4 linked regions of the Callithrix jacchus genome follow. The protein of the gene in region 1 binds, or shares a complex with, the protein of each later gene. Links are inferred from orthologs where the notes say so. Each region holds a gene or a part of one and is shown in the gene's direction. Other genes may lie near its edges.

The links. The genes of interacting proteins can lie anywhere in the genome.
Region 2: the proteins of GNAO1 (region 1) and RGS16 are in contact, whole or in part, in a crystal structure (PDB 3C7K), measured with the Mus musculus proteins. The link is inferred for Callithrix jacchus from reciprocal best matches to the Homo sapiens genes GNAO1 and RGS16. Residues at the interface, in NP_034438.1 of Mus musculus: Glu64, Asp65, Gln68, Ser75, Arg86, Thr117, Val180, Lys181, Thr182, Thr183, Gly184, Ile185, Val186, Gln205, Arg206, Ser207, Glu208, Lys210, Lys211, His214, His236, Glu237, Asp238, Glu239; in NP_035397.2 of Mus musculus: Glu85, Phe86, Ser87, Glu89, Asn90, Glu124, Ala125, Pro126, Glu128, Val129, Asn130, Asp132, His133, Glu134, Leu161, Lys164, Asp165, Ser166, Arg169, Lys172.
Region 3: the proteins of GNAO1 (region 1) and C3AR1 are in contact, whole or in part, in a cryo-EM structure (PDB 8I95), measured with the Homo sapiens proteins. The link is inferred for Callithrix jacchus from reciprocal best matches to the Homo sapiens genes GNAO1 and C3AR1. Residues at the interface, in NP_066268.1 of Homo sapiens: Ile28, Ala31, Lys32, Asp33, Val34, Asn194, Leu195, Ser264, Asn316, Glu318, Tyr320, Asp341, Ile342, Ile343, Ile344, Ala345, Asn347, Leu348, Arg349, Gly350, Cys351, Gly352, Leu353, Tyr354; in NP_001313404.1 of Homo sapiens: Asn57, Asp119, Arg120, Val123, Val124, Pro127, Ile128, Gln131, Asn132, Arg134, Asn135, Tyr356, Ile359, Arg362, Gly366, Arg367, Phe368, Ser371, Lys374, Thr375, Val378, Leu438.
Region 4: the proteins of GNAO1 (region 1) and HRH3 are in contact, whole or in part, in a cryo-EM structure (PDB 8YN7), measured with the Homo sapiens proteins. The link is inferred for Callithrix jacchus from reciprocal best matches to the Homo sapiens genes GNAO1 and HRH3. Residues at the interface, in NP_066268.1 of Homo sapiens: Ile28, Ala31, Lys32, Asp33, Val34, Lys193, Asn194, Leu195, Asn312, Pro315, Asn316, Lys317, Glu318, Ile319, Tyr320, Phe336, Thr340, Asp341, Ile343, Ile344, Ala345, Asn347, Leu348, Arg349, Gly350, Cys351, Gly352, Leu353, Tyr354; in NP_009163.2 of Homo sapiens: Asn69, Asp131, Arg132, Ser135, Val136, Ala139, Val140, Tyr142, Arg143, Ala144, Gly147, Ile221, Ile225, Arg228, Arg232, Thr345, Phe348, Arg349, Arg352, Val356, Leu360, Cys415, His416, His417.

The regions. Positions count from the first base shown.
Region 1 is NC_133521.1:14,059,633-14,063,695, forward strand, and holds the start of GNAO1 (guanine nucleotide-binding protein G(o) subunit alpha), read left to right. Parts: upstream 1-1,263; 5' UTR 1,264-2,161; coding exon 2,162-2,279; intron 2,280-2,465; exon of another isoform or gene 2,466-2,496; coding exon 2,497-2,539; exon of another isoform or gene 2,540-2,657; intron 2,658-3,989; exon of another isoform or gene 3,990-4,063. UniProt on the Homo sapiens protein: Guanine nucleotide-binding proteins (G proteins) function as transducers downstream of G protein-coupled receptors (GPCRs) in numerous signaling cascades.
Region 2 is NC_133519.1:40,800,393-40,804,592, reverse strand, and holds the start of RGS16 (regulator of G-protein signaling 16), read left to right. Parts: upstream 1-1,394; 5' UTR 1,395-1,524; coding exon 1,525-1,568; intron 1,569-2,426; coding exon 2,427-2,537; intron 2,538-3,298; coding exon 3,299-3,363; intron 3,364-3,644; coding exon 3,645-3,811; intron 3,812-4,200. UniProt on the Homo sapiens protein: Regulates G protein-coupled receptor signaling cascades. Inhibits signal transduction by increasing the GTPase activity of G protein alpha subunits, thereby driving them into their inactive GDP-bound form.
Region 3 is NC_133510.1:22,885,490-22,889,746, reverse strand, and holds the start of C3AR1 (C3a anaphylatoxin chemotactic receptor), read left to right. Parts: upstream 1-1,451; 5' UTR 1,452-1,605; intron 1,606-2,230; 5' UTR 2,231-2,348; intron 2,349-2,721; 5' UTR 2,722-2,843; intron 2,844-4,257.
Region 4 is NC_133506.1:57,779,908-57,783,933, reverse strand, and holds the start of HRH3 (histamine H3 receptor), read left to right. Parts: upstream 1-1,220; 5' UTR 1,221-1,256; coding exon 1,257-1,866; coding exon of another isoform or gene 1,867-1,870; intron 1,871-2,896; coding exon 2,897-3,063; intron 3,064-4,026. UniProt on the Homo sapiens protein: The H3 subclass of histamine receptors could mediate the histamine signals in CNS and peripheral nervous system. Signals through the inhibition of adenylate cyclase and displays high constitutive activity (spontaneous activity in the absence of agonist).

The DNA.
Region 1 (4,063 bases):
TGCTTTCAGAGCCACAGAAATGCCCAACTGTTAGGGGAAAAAAAAAAAACAACGTTTTCCACTGGCCGCTTGCCTCTCTTATCCCCATGCAACCTTGCCTATTGGCCCCTTTCCCTAGGAGAGCCCCTGGGGCTGTCTGATGGAACTAATTGTAAAATTATTTTGTGCAGTAAAAAATTCATTTCTTCAAAATCTGAGACCACCCAGAATATGCCCAATCTTTGGCAAATATCAACTGGTTTCCTCAGTATTTGACTAGCTGTACACCGAGTAACTGACCCGGGTTTCTGGGTCTTTCTATCGGCATAGAAATGAGGGGGAAATGTTTCAGAAGATGAAAAAAGGAAGAAAATCTCTCATCCAGAATCTATTCAAAATTCATTTTGTGTGTTTGGAAGGGGGAAAACAGAAGAATTCAGTGCAAAGAGGCCTCCACCAGACTAAACCGTCCAACATCTGCAAAAGCTTTTTAAATAAAACTGCTCAGGGATCAGGGGTTTGCTGCAAGCTCCCGGTCGCTTGAAGCCCTGTCCCTCCGCTCCGGGCCCTCACGCCTCCGAGGGTGGGCACCCCTCTTGCACGGAGAGCGGCGGCTGGGATCTCCGAGCAGGGTCGCCGACGGCCCTGGAGGCAGCGGCTCCCGGAGAACAGGCCCAGGCTTTTCTCGGCCCGCTGCATTCCTCTCCTTACAGCCTTGGCTCTCACATAGTAGGTGCTCTATAAATGTGGACTAAGGACTCGAAAAGTCCGAATCTGTCCTCACGCCCCAGAGGCGAATTCTGGTGCGCGAGGTTTTATTGCAACCCACTACCACATCGCGTCTCCTGAGGTAACCTGACCTCGGCTCTGCGGCCCCAGCAGCTGGAGAGCCACGGAGAAGGCGGGCTGCGGGAGACAAGATGGAGAGCCTGCGGGAGAGGGACAGAGGCCGCGCTGGCCGCGAGCTGGGGGGCCCACCTGACTGCCGCGCTGCCTGCCCGGCCCAGCACTCCCATTGACAAGGAGGTCCGCGCCGCCGCCGCGTGGGGCGGGGGCAGGGGCGGGGTAGGGCGCCCCGGCGCGCGCCCGGCCCCACGCCCCGCCCCCGCCAGCCTCGCACGCGCCCACCCCCGGGGAGCCGCGGGCCCGGAGGGCGCTTGGGGGAGGGGGGAGGATGCTCCGCGAACGCGCGTGCGCGCCTCCGCCGGCTGACGCGGACCCCCGGCGCGCGCCTCCCCCGCCCCGCGTTCTCCCAGTCCCGGGGGCTCGGCGCGCGGCCCTGCTGACGTCAGCCGGCGGCCCGCGGAGCCGGGTGCGCAGAGTCGCTGGCTCACTCGCGCTCTGCGCTCGCCTCCTCCCCCAACCCGGGCCCTGGCGCGGGCGCGCTCCTTCGCTCTACCATTTTTTTTTTTTTCCCCTCCCTCCCTGCCTCTCTCTCTCTCTCCCTCTCCCTCGAGCACCCGGCTGGCCGCGGCTCCCTGGCGCTCTCCCTCTCTCCGGTAGGCTCACCGAGCGATGAGAGCTCTGGGAGACCGCAACGCCGCCTCCCGCTAGAGACCTGCCCCCCGGTCCGGCCCCCTGCCCAGCCCTGCCCAGCGCGCGGGGGTCGGCGAAGGCGCCGCGGACGCACCGACGGCTGAAGAGCGGCGATGCACATGCACTAGCAGCACCCCCTAACTCACTCCCTCCACATCCCGCGCCGCCGCCGCCGCCTCCGCCACCTCCTCCTCCGCCGCCGCCACCGCCTCCTCCTCCAGCAGCCGCGGCAGCAGGACCCACCCTGCCCCCCACCCCACCCTCCGTCGGCTCCGGCTGCGGCTCCAGCCTCGACTATTATTTTATTTATTTTGGGTCGTGCACAAGCCTCAGTGCCTGCAGCCCGCGCCTCCTCGGCCCGCGGGCGCCTCCTCCCTCGGCTCCGGAGCCCCTGACTCCGGCCATCCTCGACTCGACACCCCCAGATCCCCACCAGCTGCCGCGAGTCTCCGCTACTGGAATCTTGTTAGCGGCTGTCTTTTTGGGGGGTTCTGGTTACGCGACATTTTTGTTTCCAGCCCAGGAGAGGATATCGTGATTTTCCCCCCTTGAGCCCAGGCTCTGCTCTCTGGGGGGGTGGGGGGCGCGCCGAGCCGGGGAGCCGTGCCAGCGGAGTTGTGCGGGCTGTGGCAGGGAAGGGGCCACCATGGGATGTACTCTGAGCGCAGAGGAGAGAGCCGCCCTCGAGCGGAGCAAGGCGATTGAGAAAAACCTCAAAGAGGATGGCATCAGCGCCGCCAAAGATGTGAAATTACTCCTACTGGGTAAGAACCGCCGCTACCACCCCCATCCCCCGACCCCGGCCACTCCGCACCCCTGCCGCCAGCTCCTCCACCCCACCCGCAGCCGGTAGACCTGGTCCCTAAGTTGGCACCACCATGTGCCCAGGATCGCCCACCCCCTCGCATGCCTTAGCCCCCCCCCCCCCGTTCCTTTAAGCTGACACTCACCAGTTTTTCCCCACTGTCTGTGTCCCAACAGGGGCTGGAGAATCAGGAAAAAGCACCATTGTGAAGCAGATGAAGTAAGTCCCTGTGGCACTGGGATTTGTACTTTTATTAAGAATAATTTTTAAAATCGTTTTTATTACCTTGCTTACTCCACATTGCTCTCCAGGCCTGTTTTTTAATTCGTGCACACACACGCACACACACACACACACCCCTATATTTGACTCCCCTCCCCCACTCCCTACGTTGGTTCTTGGTCCTCCACCCCAACTACCGGGTGGGTGTTTTTTGGGAGGGGGAAGGGGAGCGCCTGTAGTTGTATGAATGACAGCGTCCGCCATATTGATCAGAACATCACACTATTGGCATGAATATGATCATTACTCTTGCTTGTGGAATATTTTGTGTCTCACTGCCTCCATTTCTGTGTCTCTGTTTCATTCTGTCTCTATTTCTCTCTCCTCTTCCCTCCATACCTCCCTATCCCCGAAGGTCCGTAATCCCGCTTCCCCCTGCTCTTCTCCTGGGGCAGTGATTTTGAACTTGGCTAACATGGAGGGGACCCAGCCCTAGACTGGGGTGGAGGATCAGGTGTCTGCTGTTCATGCGTTTGGTGCTGAATTGGAGGCTGTGTTTTCTACGTCTCCTCGCCCCCCCCCAAAAAAGAGGGGATTAGGGGAGGGGTCGTGTGCTAGGGGAAGGAGTGGGTTTCCAAGCGGTAGTGACTGGCACAGTTTTATCCAAGGTAGAGGTGGAAGGGGGAGGGAAGCTGCCTGTGAGGCTGAATGTCCGCCCCTTGCTGCCCCCAGCTCCTCTCCTCCCCCACCCTCCCAGCATTGCTCTCCTGATACCCGCAGTTTTCCTTCGCTCCGTGGCCTTTATCAGTGTATTTATTTACACTCTGCATAGGCCATGTTCCATGCAATCTACTCACAATGCGGATTTCAGGCCCCACTTTCCGCCGCCCCCTTCTGCCTTAGCTATCAGTTTCCCCTCCTAATTAACTGGGGGTGGATTTGAGTGATGGTTGAAAATTAAAACAAAATGGGATATTCCTTCCCTTCCACACTTTCTCAATAAGGAGCCTCGCCCCTCCTTCCCACTCGCAGGCTCGCTTCTTGCCCTATTCACCCGGCAGTTCCTGGTGAGCCCACAGGCAGCTTTGCTTGGGGAGGGGGTGGCTGGCCGCAAAGAGGTGTGCGCCCTCGGGGCCTCCTGCTTCCGTTGGCCTGTCAGTTCAGGACGGAGGAGTTCGTTAAGACCGTTTAGCGAAAATTCCATGTCGCTTTGCTGTGACACCTTCGTGCACACACAGCTCCTAATTAGGGGTTGCCGTACAGTAAACAAAAATGATTATTTTTCAACTTGACAGAGTAGCCGAAGTAATTGCATCGCGTAGGGAAACAATGGAAAATAAAAACCCCTTTCGTGGGAAGCTGGGAGTGGGAGACGAAGCATGCTTGCGGTTTCAGAACCAAGATGCAAAAAATCTTGCATGTGTAACAGGCATGACAAGCGGGTTCTAGGCGGCGCCATGATGGTAGGGAGTAGCGACTCGGAGACAGTTTCCCCATCGGCTTGACATGTTCTTATTTTTG
Region 2 (4,200 bases), on another chromosome or scaffold:
CTTTATGGGGTCACCAGGGCCTGTCCTCTTGCTTCAGTAGACAGTTCCAAAGGGCCAGCTGAGCTTCAGGCCATTCCCTGGAAGCCGCTGGGGTCTCTCTTGAAATGGCATGGCCTTCAACTCCTCCCTCTGTCCAAACCTGCTTCCTTTACTTGCTCTCAATTCTGAACGCTCTCCCCAGTAAACCCCCTGCACGCAAGCCTCTGCCTCAGAGTCTAGTTCGTAGGAACTCAAACTAAGAATTAATTTATTTGGTTCTCACAACCACCTTATGAAATAAGTTGTTCTCTTCCTAGAGACAAGGACATGGAGGCACAGAAAGGTTAAGCAGTTTGCCTAGTCTCCCATCAGTGACTGGCAGAGCCGTGACTGGAAACCTGAAAATCTAACTCTAGACCCTGTACTCTTACCCTCACATGCAGCCTCTTAATAGCAATCCCAAAGGGAACTGAGGGGTGTTGGGGGAGGATGTAATGCCTTTATGGGAAGGTGAGGAGAGAGGCAGGGCATTTATTACCTTTATCTCAGAGATGGAGACACTAAGGTAGCAACTGCTTAAACCCAGGATGGTCCACCAGTTATAGCTGTGACTGGATTCTAACCTTTTCGGGTGCAGGGTTGGGGGGGGGGCCGTGCGGGGAAGGGGAGGGGGTGCAACAGAAAAAGAATGATAAATTCACATTTGAATTTGGGAGTCAACACCTACTAACTGAACATCTTTGAGCAAGTTATTTAATATGAGTCTTAGGTTATGTGCCTGGCACATAGTAGGTGTTCAACAAAATCATCAACCCATCCCTGTCTGTCATCTCCAACTGTGATCTTGGGAAAGTTTCTTTAGCTTTCTGATTCTCACCTGTTTCAACTATAAAATGGAGATGATGATGAAGAAGAGCTTACTTAGGTCCGTGTCCATCGATCGGGGTAAGAGCCCCGTAAATGGTACTTATCGGTATAATCGGATGCTGTTTTGCCCCAGCGTGCACCCTGTGCGCCGTCCTTCAGGACCCAGCAGGCTCAGACTTGCCTGGGATCAAAGCCCCGCGTGCCTCCCGGACCCACCACCCCCATGCAAACCCTCCCAACACGACACCGCTGCGTGAGTTTCCTGCTGTTACTACAGGTCGGCGGGTTTTTTTCCCTAGGAAACTGGGTGCGCACGTCTCATCCCCGTGCCAATCCTCTTGCCGCTTCTCCTTCTCCACGCGGCGCCCTGCGGGCGCAGGGTGCAGCGCCGCGTGCTCCAAGATGCAGCGAAGCTGAGTCCGGCACGGTCTGGCTGCTGGCCCAGCCTCCGCCGTCTCGGCGCCCCGCCCCGCCCTCCGATTGGTCAGAGCGCCCCGCCCCGCCCCGCCCCTCCGAAGGGATAAACGCAGCGGCAGCGCAGCCTGGGCGCATGCAGGCTGCTAACCCCAACCCCAGCACACTAGCACCTGCTACTGCGCCTTTGCTTTCTCGCGCTCGAGGACCCTCCTGGAGCCCGCCACCATCCTGCCCACTACGTGCTGCCTTGCGCCCGCAGCCATGTGCCGCACCCTGGCCGCCTTCCCCAACACCTGCCTGGAGAGGTAAGGGGAGCTTGTCCAAATGCTTGTTGGAAGTCCCACCAACTTCTAGGGAGTGGAGCGGCAGGCCTGGGGACCTAGGTGGGCGCGGGTATGGGGCGCTAGAGACTTGAGAGGTAGAGGCGAACTTGATGCCACGTGCTCAGATTCCAGGAGCAGGGAGAAAGCAGGGGGAAGGGAAGCGAGGGCCTGCTGCTTGCTGCCATCCCCATCCTCTGACAAACTGCAGTCGTGCTCAGGTGACCTGCTGAAGAGCCGGCTGCAGGAAGGCCACGTTGACATTTCCAGGCAGAATGGAGCCTGCCCATTTCTTAAGCACTTGGTTTTCATTCCTCAGCCCAGAGCTAGGGGCATGGCCCCCTTTGCCCCTAGCAGGCAGGGAGATTTTTTTTTGTGGGGGGGGGGTCCCACTGTTGAGGGTGTGTCCATGTTTCAGAGAGCTACTCAACAGCTTCCAATTGTTACTGGCTGGCAAGGAAAAAGTAAAGATGAAGGCAGGAATCAGTTTCCACACAGTTCAGAAATACTTCTGAAAAGAATGCTGAGTTCTCTTCTGAATCAACAGGCATGAAGAGAGAGAGATCAGTGTGACTTTAGGATAAAGCCCATATATGCAGTGTGTGTATTACCCAGAAAGTGTAAGACCCACCACCGCATAGCTCAGACGGTGCTGTCGTCGTTTTGGGGTTGATGATGCTGTGAAGAGAAGCACATTTGGGCCCTGGGAACAACCAACAGTTCCCAGGAACTCTTGAGGCTAAAGTTTCAGTGGGGCCGCCCAGAACTCTTCTGGGATCCACAAACCTCTCCACACTGGCTGAGCAAATGAGAACCCTTTCACGTTTGTGATTTGTTTTCCAGAGCCAAAGAGTTCAAGACACGTCTGGGGATCTTTCTTCACAAATCAGATCTGGGCTCCAATACTGGGAGTATTGGCAAATTCGAGTGGAGCAGTAAACACGGCAAAGAGAAGTAAGTGTTGCTGACCAGCCCAGGGTTCCTAGTGGGAAGGGAGCGGGGAAAAGGAGGAGGGAAGTTGTCACGAGGAGGGAAATGCAAGGAGAAGCCAGGACATGCTAAGTGGACCTCGGCATCCCCTCTCTAGAGATTTTAGCGGGACTTGTCGCTGGTCTGTTATGACTACTTGGCTCATGGGTGAGTGGGTAGGTGGCTCCAGGGCTCCAAGTCCATCCACAGATGAGGGCACACAGGGCATGAATGTCTAGTTACCAGACTCTCCCACCTGGGCGTTCATTGCACATACGTCCGGGGCTAGGACGGTGTCCAAGACTGCTTGAAGTTTTTATTAATGACTCTAGCATGCGCCTTGCCTAGAAACCCTTTCATACTGGCTATCAACAGTACCAAACTCTGGAGTTATGTGTAGATGTCATCTCTATGAGCCCCAGTTTCCTTGGGGAGGTATACAAAACAAATCTTTGAGAGTCAGGGGAATCGAAATAACTTTGGGCAGAGAAGAGACAGCCTTAGAGATATTGACTGAGGACTAAGGAGTCCCTAACTTTGATTTCTGGTTGCTGAATTGCTCTCTAGAAAACACAGTGCTTACCCTAAGTCCAACTAAGAGTTTGAGGTGTCAGCTTCAACAATCACCAAGCAAGTCTTTGTGTGAATTTTACTCAACTTTCCATCAGAGTTCTGGCTAGAATTTGTGCTATGCTTTACTTTGTTGATTTTTTTTCTTACTTTCTTTTTTTTCCTTTTTCTTTTAGTAGAAACTTCTCAGAAGATGTGCTGGGGTGGAGAGAGTCGTTCGACCTGTTGCTGAGCAGTAAAAGTGAGTAGGAGCCTTTTGTGTCTGTCTGTGGGTGGCACGTGGGTACTCACGTGCTTTGGAGCCAGGCCCAGGACTGCTGAAAGCTTGGGCGGAATAATAGTAGTAGTAATAATAATAATAATGACCCCTAGTGTGCCAGCCTCTATTCAACGTACAAAGGCAGGTCCTTTGTTCAAGAAAATTATGTTTAAAAATAGGGCCATTAAGTGAAATTGCTGTCCTTTCTTTAGTTGCCTTCTGTCCCTTGTCTGACCTGTTTCCTCCTTTCTCCCACAACCCAGATGGAGTGGCTGCTTTCCACGCTTTCCTGAAGACCGAGTTCAGCGAAGAGAACCTGGAGTTCTGGCTAGCCTGTGAGGAGTTCAAGAAGATCCGATCAGCTACCAAACTGGCCTCCAGGGCACACCGGATCTTCGAGGAGTTCATATGCAGCGAGGCCCCTAAAGAGGTTAGAGCCCCGCCATGCATATGAATCTGCACCACCCTGCCTGCTCCTTCCCCTCTGAGAGTCTGGGCTAGTGGGGAGGAAGGTGTAGAAATAGAAGGGCCTTACTTGACACAGGGGTGAGTGGGCTTCTGTGGCCAGAGACTAGGAAAGCCAGACTCAATGCCACTCCTGGGTCTTCACCCTGTGACTCATGATGGGGCAAGATGGGTTGGCAGGATTTTTGGCTTCAGTCCATACCCACCTTTATAAACCCGTCCATTTTTAAAGGCTCAAAACACTCACCAACTGGAGAGAGAAGGTTAGCACGAGGACCTTACATAACCTGGCTCAGTCCCCAGGCTGACCTGCCTGAGGCTTGCAGGTCTGTGGTCTGTGATTTTTTTCTAAGT
Region 3 (4,257 bases), on another chromosome or scaffold:
TTGTAGAGACATGGATGAATCTAGAAACCATCATTCTCAGCAAACTGACACAAGAATAGAAAACCAAACACTGCATATTTTCACTCATAGTCAGGTGACAAAGAGTGAGAACGCTTGGTCACAGGGAAGGGAACAACACTCACTGGAGTAGGTGGAGAGGTGAAGGGGAGGGGAGGGACAGTTGGGGGGGCGGGGAGGATGAGGAGGGAGAACACTGGGAGGAATACCTGATGTAGGTGACGGGGTGGGGGATGGAGACAGCAAACTACCATGGCGTGTATGGACCTGTGCAACAATCCTGCAGGATGCAAGACATGCACATGTACCCCAGAGCCCAAAGTACAATTTTTAAAAAATGATTTACAGCATATTCATTAAGCAAGAATCATCTTCAGTCCTTTGTACTCCTTTCTGATGAAACACCACCTGGACTCCAGCCTGTTCTTCAGTGTCCACTAAGAACACCCATCTGCCCTCTCCCATCTACCTGCCTTTGAGTAGGCTCCTCTTACAGGCTAAGCAAGTTTTCACCGTTTTCTTTTTTTTCCTTTTTTTTTTTTTTTTTTTTCTGAGATGGAGTCTCACTCGGCCACCCAGGCTGAAGTGCAGTGGTGCCATCTCAGCTCACTACAACACTGTCTCCTGGGTTGAAGTGATTCTCCCATCTCAGCCTCCTAAGTAGCTGGGACTACAAGCATCCACCATCATGCCCAGCAAATTTTTGGTATTTTTAGTAGAGACAGGCCTTCACCAGGTTGACCAGGCTGTTCTTGAACTACCGGCCTCAAGTGATCTACCTCGGCCTCCCAAAATGCTAGGATTACAGGCGTGAACCACCACACTCAGCCACCTTTTTCTGTCTCTAGAAGTCTTGCGGGTACTTAAGGACTTGCCCACATCTTATTTCTATCTTAAGACTTTCCTAGATTGCCCTGGGTTATAAATACCCCTGCCCAGAGTGTTATACTATTTTACTTCTATTGTTACTTCTATTATTATAGTCTGGGTTGTATTACAGTTTTGTGTGTATGTATTTGGGTGCATATTCCCACTCGACTGTGAATCTTTGGAGATTAGAATACAGCTTAGTTCATCCTGATTTTGGCATGGCACCATTTTTCACATATATCAAGCATTTAGGAGCTGTTACTTGAGATTAATTAAATGGGTTTTGTTCGGGTCATTTCTCTCCACCCACTCCCCACCCCAACCGTCACATCTCATAGAGTCATTTTTTTTTTTTTTTTACATTTCTAAACAAAACCTACAAAGTTAGAAGCCTGTGTATAGAATTATCCTCTCTCTAACCATTCTCTGTGTGCTGCGGAAAATGTCCCAGAATTATAACCTCCTACTTCTGTTTTTCTGCTTTTCCTTTCTAAGTCATTTAGAAATGACTCACTTTGAAACTCTTCCTGTGAAGTCAGATAGTGGTCTAGAGCATAAGGCTTAATTTGTTGCCAGAAACAGAGAAGGAAAGAAGGAGAGAATGCTCAGCAAATTTTGTCATACTTCATGACTTCATTGTGGCTAAGTTTGGGGACCAGACAGGACTCATGGGAACATCCAGGTGCTGAAGCCTTCAGCTACTGTCTCAGCTTTTTGGTAAGAAAATCTAAATCCACCTGATGACTTGCACTTAACCTGTTTCGCTCATTATAAGTAATGAGTTTAAGGGTCATTATCTTCTATTTCCCCATTCCTTCTCCAATTTTCAATTCTTTTGTCTTATCTCTATGTCTAACTTTCTGTTTCTAAATATTCCACATTGCTTTTGTCTTTGCTTTTAATATTTCATAGTGCAATTAATAGTGAACTTTATGCCATTTCTTTCCTGTCTTTGAATTAGCTGTGTATTTCCCCTGAACTTTGATTCTAGCTGTCCCCATTAGTTTGTTTTTCAAATCATTGATTGCCCTATTGCCCTTTTTTTCCCTTTCTATTTTCCTCTTTCTTTTTTTTTTATTCTTTTGCCCATTCCTTACTGCTACTGACTCTGTTATTCTATTATTACAATTTGATTCCGTGGTCCACGTTTCTTTCCCTATCATAGTGGAATTTTAGTTTCAGGATATTATCATTAAATTACTGCTGGTCAATTTCGTAATAATTTTTTTAATCCTCTACTAATCTTAAACATAAAGGTATGGTACTTTTTAGCCAAATTAACTTAAAGAAATGTAAAAAGTAATCTTGTTCTGAAAGACTTTTTTTCTCTTTTTTGTGACAGAGTCTCACTCTGTTGCCCAGGCTGGAGTACAGTGGCACAGCCTTGGCTCACTGCAACCTCCAACTCCCAGGTTGAAGTGATTCTCCTGCCTCAGCCTCCTGAGTAGCTGTGATTACAGGTATGTGCTACCACACCCAGTTAAATTTTTTTTTGTATTTTTAGTAGAAATAGCGTTCCACCACGTTGGCCAGGCTGGTCTTGAACTCCTGACCTCAGGTGATCTGCCCACCTTGGCCTCCCAAAGTGCTGGGATTACAGGCATGAGCCACTGCACCCAGCCTTGTTCTGAAGAACTTTTAATTACTGATTCATACATACTTCCATTTCAAAATAAATAATATGCGATATTTAATATATAGCTCATGCCAGATAACTCCATTTATTTTTATTGAAATTTCACCGTTTGTAGTTCCTGCTACTTCAATTCGTGCAGTTCTTGGCTGCTTCCCCTTTATTAGCAATGCCATAATCTTCCTTTTTTTTTTTTTGAGATGGAGCCTCACCCTATAGCCCAGGCTGGAGTGTAGCGGTGCAATCTTGGCTCACTGCAAACTCTGCCTCCCAGGTTCAAGTGATTCTCCTGCCTCAGCCTCCCAGGTAGCTGGGACTACAGGTATGAGCCATGCTCCACTAATTTTTTGTATTTTTAGTAGAGACAGGCTATCACCGTGTTAGCCAGGATGGTCTTGATCTCCTGACCTCGTGATCCGCCGGCCTCGGCCTCCCAAAGTGCTAGTATAACAGGCGTGAGCCACTGCACTCAGCCTACCATATATCTTTATATATATATATATATTTTGGTAGTAAAAAGAGCATTGGCCTAACAGTCACTGGACCTGAAATCCAAGATCCTCCCTAATAATGATTATATGAAAGGAATCTAATTTACTAAGTTTCACTGTCAAACTTGAGAAACAAAAGCTGAGACGATGTAGATTGGGTGCGGTGGCTCATATCGGTAATCCCAGCACACTCTGAGGCCAAGGAGGGAGGATTGCTGGAGACCAGGAGTTTGAGAGCAGCTTGGACAACATAGCAAGCCTCTGTCTCTACAAACGAACAAACAATGACCAGAAAAAAATGTAGAGAGGAGAGATGATTTCAAAGTTTTCTTTCAGTCCCAGCATCCTAGGACTCTATCCTTCTCTCAATATTTTAGGAAGTTACCTTGATAGGATTTAAATATCTGAGTAGACAAGGCCATAAAAAGGGGAATAGGAATCATTTCTTCTTTTTTATTTTGTTGACTTGCTATTTTAACTTCTGCTAATCACATAAGGCCCTATGAAAATATTTGGTTGACTCAGCAGAGCTACTTTCAAGCCACGAAAATATTTTGAGCCTCGTAAAAATAAATGTAAATTGTTATTATATCCAGTAAAACTTAGGAATTTAACAAAAAGAAAGTAAAAAGGGACAGCATGGGAATTCCGGAAGAGGCCCAAGTAAGGATTAAATGCATATAAATTAAAATTTTAGATTTAATTGCAAAAGAAAAAAAGTCAACCCCTAAAATGGGCATCCATCTATTCAAGTAATTTTTTTTGAGACAGAGTCTCACTCTGTCATGCAGGCTGGAGTGCAATGGTGCAATCTCAGCTCACTGCAAACTCTGCCTCTCCAGTTCAAGCATTCTTCTGCCTCAGTTTCCCAAGTAGCTGGGATTACAAGTGTGCACCACCACACCCAGCTAATTTTTGTATTTTTGGTAGAGACAGAATTCTGCCATGTTGACTAGGCTGGTCTCAAACTCCTGGCCCCAAGCGATCTGCTCCTCTTGGCCCCCCAGAATGGGGATTACAGGCATGAGCCACTGTGCCCCGCCTGTCCACGTAATCTTTAACCTCAAGGTCTCATAAGGCATTGTGTTAAACTGTGTGAAACAATCATTTATAAATAAGACTCTTTTTTACCATCATGAAGTTTAAATCTAGAATAATAGATTAGACAGCCATTATAATTATTACATAAGGTAAAATGCATCATTGCATACAGAATATGAAAAAAGTTGAAACACACACATTCAC
Region 4 (4,026 bases), on another chromosome or scaffold:
GTTCCTCCCTGCAGTCAGCCCTGGGGAGGCCGCAGAGGAATCCCAGCCCCACTCTCCTCAAAGTTTCTGAAGTGACACTGGGAGCGAGGGAAAGGGGTGGGTCCCCACAGGATGGGGGAGCTGCTATACAGGAGGGAGTGATGGTGGGTGTCAGCAGCCAGGTCCCCTCTGCGGCCCCCCACCAGGCACTCGCATTCTACCCTCTTTGAGGTGCCGTGGATGCCTGCGGCTGGTGACAGAGCGGAGTTGCCGCTTTCCCTCTCCTGAGGTGCGGCTCCCTCCCTGCCTGCTGTCTGATGTGTGTCTCGCTGTTGGTGGGTGCTCAGCCTGGCACTGGCGGCAGCTTCCCTGGCCTGTGGGTGTCTGTGTATCTAAGTGTGGGCATGTCTGTCTGCCCTGAGTGTTTCAGGCGGAATCTGTCCTTGACCCCGTCTATCTGAGCGCATGTGTCTGGTGGCCGGGGCGCTTCCTCCGGCCACCTATCCTCTCCTCCCCCGTCCCCTCCCACAGGCGCTAACACAGCCACCACCCGCGACCTGAGCGCAGTGACCTCGTCTGTCCGCTATAGCAGCGACTGCCCCTCTGTCCACCGGGGTCCATGGCTGTGCTCCAAGGGGCTTCCTGCTTCCTCAGCCTGAGGCCGCCGGAGCCAAGGCTGGACGCGCTCCCCTCCGGCTGGGTCCGCCCAGCGCCTCATCTTCCCTTATGTAACTCCACATCTGCCTGCACCTTGCAGGTCACCCCGGACCCTGCACTGGGTCCTTTCCACAGGGAGGCTGGCACCCGGTGTCCGTGCAAAGGGGAGGTGGAGCAGACCCCTGGTCTGGGCACCGGCTTTCCAAGGCCCCTCCCCGACCTTTCTTCACCAGACGTTCCTTCCCCGGAGACCCACATTCTAAAAACCTGAACCGAGGAAATGCCCCGCAGGGCAAGTTCCCCGGAGCGCGGGTGCAGGCGTTTCCCCCACCCCCAGCCCAGGTCCCCACCAGCGCCAGGGCTCCCCATGATGACCGGGCAGGGGTCACCAGGGCCGAGGGCAGGGGAAAGGCCGAGCAACCCAGACCCCGGCTCCGAGTGAGCGAGCTGACTGACCACAGGCGAGCCCCCAGACCCGGCCAAGCCCCGGCCGGGCGTCCAGCCAGCTGCGGTGAGCGCAGGGGCTGGGTTCCAGCCTGCCCGGCGGGCACGCGGCGCTGTCCGTGGTGCTGCCGGCGCCGGGCGGGGCGGGGGAGGGGGCGGGGCGAGGGCGGCAGCCAATGGCGGGGGCCCTGCGCGGGGCGCGGGGGGCGGTGGGCTGGGCGCGGGGCGCACTCGGCTGCGCGTTGCGCTCGGGGTGCACGGTCGTGCTGGCAGCGGCTCCTGCTCCGCTTCCTCTCCCGCTGCAGCAGCCGCGCCGCCGGCCCGGCGCCGCTGGGCTTGGATCCGTCTCCGGCCCCCTAGCCACCGCCCGCCCTGGCCCAGGCCCCGGCCCCGCGGACCATGCGCTGGGCGCCCCCCGGGGAACCCGACACGGCCGAGGGCCCACAAAGACGAGGCTCCCTGGCCGGGGCCCCTCCCGGCCGCCCAGCTCTCAGCCGGCGCCCTGCCGCGCGTCCCGGAGCCGCGTGAGCCTGCGGGGCCATGGAGCGCGCGCCGCCCGACGGGCCGCTGAACGCTTCGGGGGCTCTGGCTGGCGAGGCGGCGGCGGCGGGCGGGGCGCGCGGCTTCTCGGCAGCCTGGACCGCGGTGCTGGCCGCGCTCATGGCGCTGCTCATCGTGGCCACGGTGCTGGGCAACGCGCTGGTCATGCTCGCCTTCGTGGCCGACTCGAGCCTCCGCACCCAGAACAACTTCTTCCTGCTCAACCTCGCCATCTCCGACTTCCTCGTGGGTAAATCCCTAGCCCCCTGCCGCCGTGGGACCCAGTGTGGCCGGCCGGTGGGGACTGGAGCGCGGACCCGGGTGGCTCCCGCGGGCACACGCCCCACCAGGGGGCCCGGCGTGGGCCGGGGGCGTCCGGAGCCCATGGAGTGGGGGTCACGGACAAAGCTCCTTGCCACTCAGAACACGGGACAGGGGCTGGGGAGGGGTGTCGCCGGGAAGGGACACGGGCTCTGAGAGGTGCAAGACGCAAAGGCAGCGGGTGCAGCGCTGGCCCCTGCGCCGTAGCCAAACAAAGGCCGCTGCGGACTTAGGACGTGAGGAGGGCTCAGGGGGGCGGTTTAGGGAAGGTCTGGGGGAGGGGACATGGAAGGGAGATTTTTAGAGTTGTGTTGGGGGAGGGGACGTGCGGAAGGTGGGGGTTGGGGGAGACGCTCGGAGGAGCGTGCTCTCACGTGTCCAGACTCTGCTGCCGGCTGCGGGGCGGGGCACGCGGAGGGGGCTGGAGCGCCAGACACCTGTTGGGGCTGTGAGGTGCGTCTCCCAGACGCTCCAAGCCGGGCTTGGCAGTAGTAGCGGCTGGCGGCTGCAAGCAAGTGCCCTCTGTCAGCCAGGAGAAAGGTTTTCTCGTTGTCTAAGCCGAGAGGGAGGGTAGGGGCTGGAGTCCCTCGAAGGAGGGGAGAGGGAAATTATCTTCTTTCCTCCTCTGAGGACTGGGAGGGAGGGACAGAAGTCCAGGGAGTCCTGACTCCAGGCTCTCCCAATCTTGTGGTGGCCAGAGGTCCCCATGCCTTGATCTTCCCTCTTGCCTCCAGGTCCAGGGGACACCAGTGGTACTGGGAGCTATTTGGGGTGAAGGCTGGTGGCAGGGCAGAGTGTGTGGCTGAGACCAGCTGGAGGGGGTGGTAAGATGAGGGTGGCTGGTCCCAGAAAGGCAGCCACTATGTGACCCCACGTCCTGCCAGTGTCTGTGCTGAGGTCGGTCTGTCCTCTGGCCCCTGGCGGCATGGTCCCACTGTGGCCCTGCTCCCCACAGGTGCCTTCTGCATCCCGCTGTATGTGCCCTATGTGCTGACGGGCCGATGGACCTTTGGCCGGGGCCTTTGCAAGCTGTGGCTGGTGGTGGACTACCTGCTGTGCACCTCCTCTGCCTTCAACATCGTGCTCATCAGCTACGACCGCTTCCTGTCAGTCACCCGAGCCGTGAGTCCTGGGCCTTGGAGCCCCTGCTCACTCCTGCAGGGCTGGTCTGGACGCCCATGGGAGGCACCGGAGTGGGAACGGTCACTTCTGAGTTCTTAGCAGAAGTGGGCTTGGTCCCACTGGCCTTGCTGCTGACATAGGGGCCGCTCAATGGCCAGCTGCCCACTTGGGGCCATGGCTGCCAGCCAGACTGTCCTGGCCCAGGCAAGAGGCAGGGAATCTGGACATAGATGTTTCCAGAGTTAAGGGAGGATCTGGGGCCAGAGGCTATGGGTGCCATCCCTCACGCATGCGCGAGTACAAGTGTGCATACACACACAGGCACCAGGAAGGCAGGTGACATCCCTCATAGATGCGAGAGTACAAGTGTGCATACACACACAGGCACTGGAAAGGCAGATGACATCCCTCACATGTGTGAGTGCACAGGGGCCCCAGGCGACATCCCTCACACATGCATGAGTGTAAGCATGCATACACATACAGGCCCTGGGCAACATTCCTCACACATGCGTGAATGCAAGCGTGGATAACACACAGGCCCCAGGAAGGCAGGTGGCAGATCCTGACTCCATGTTTCCCTTCACGGGAAGGGCCACCTGAGTCAGGGACCCTACCCTCACTGGGCTCCTGCATCCGTGCTCTGCAGCCCAGGGAGCCGCTGCTGAAGTCACTCCTTCCCCTTCTCATCTTCTCCTTGGCAGCTCACCTTCCCAGGGCTTTATCAGGTCCTCTGCAGAACTGAGGGCAACTGTTTCATTCTAGCCTAGAAAGGCCAAGAGACAGGTGCAAAGAGCATGGGTTTGGGGTCCTCTTGAGCCCATCACCCCGTGGTCTCTCCCTCCTTTCCTGGAGGCCCCAGGCATGGGGCACAAGGAGAGCTGACTCAAAGGGGAAAGCAGCCTAGCCCAGAGCCTGGCTCAGAGGTGCTCCGCCCAGCTCTCATTAGCAATAGCTGTGATC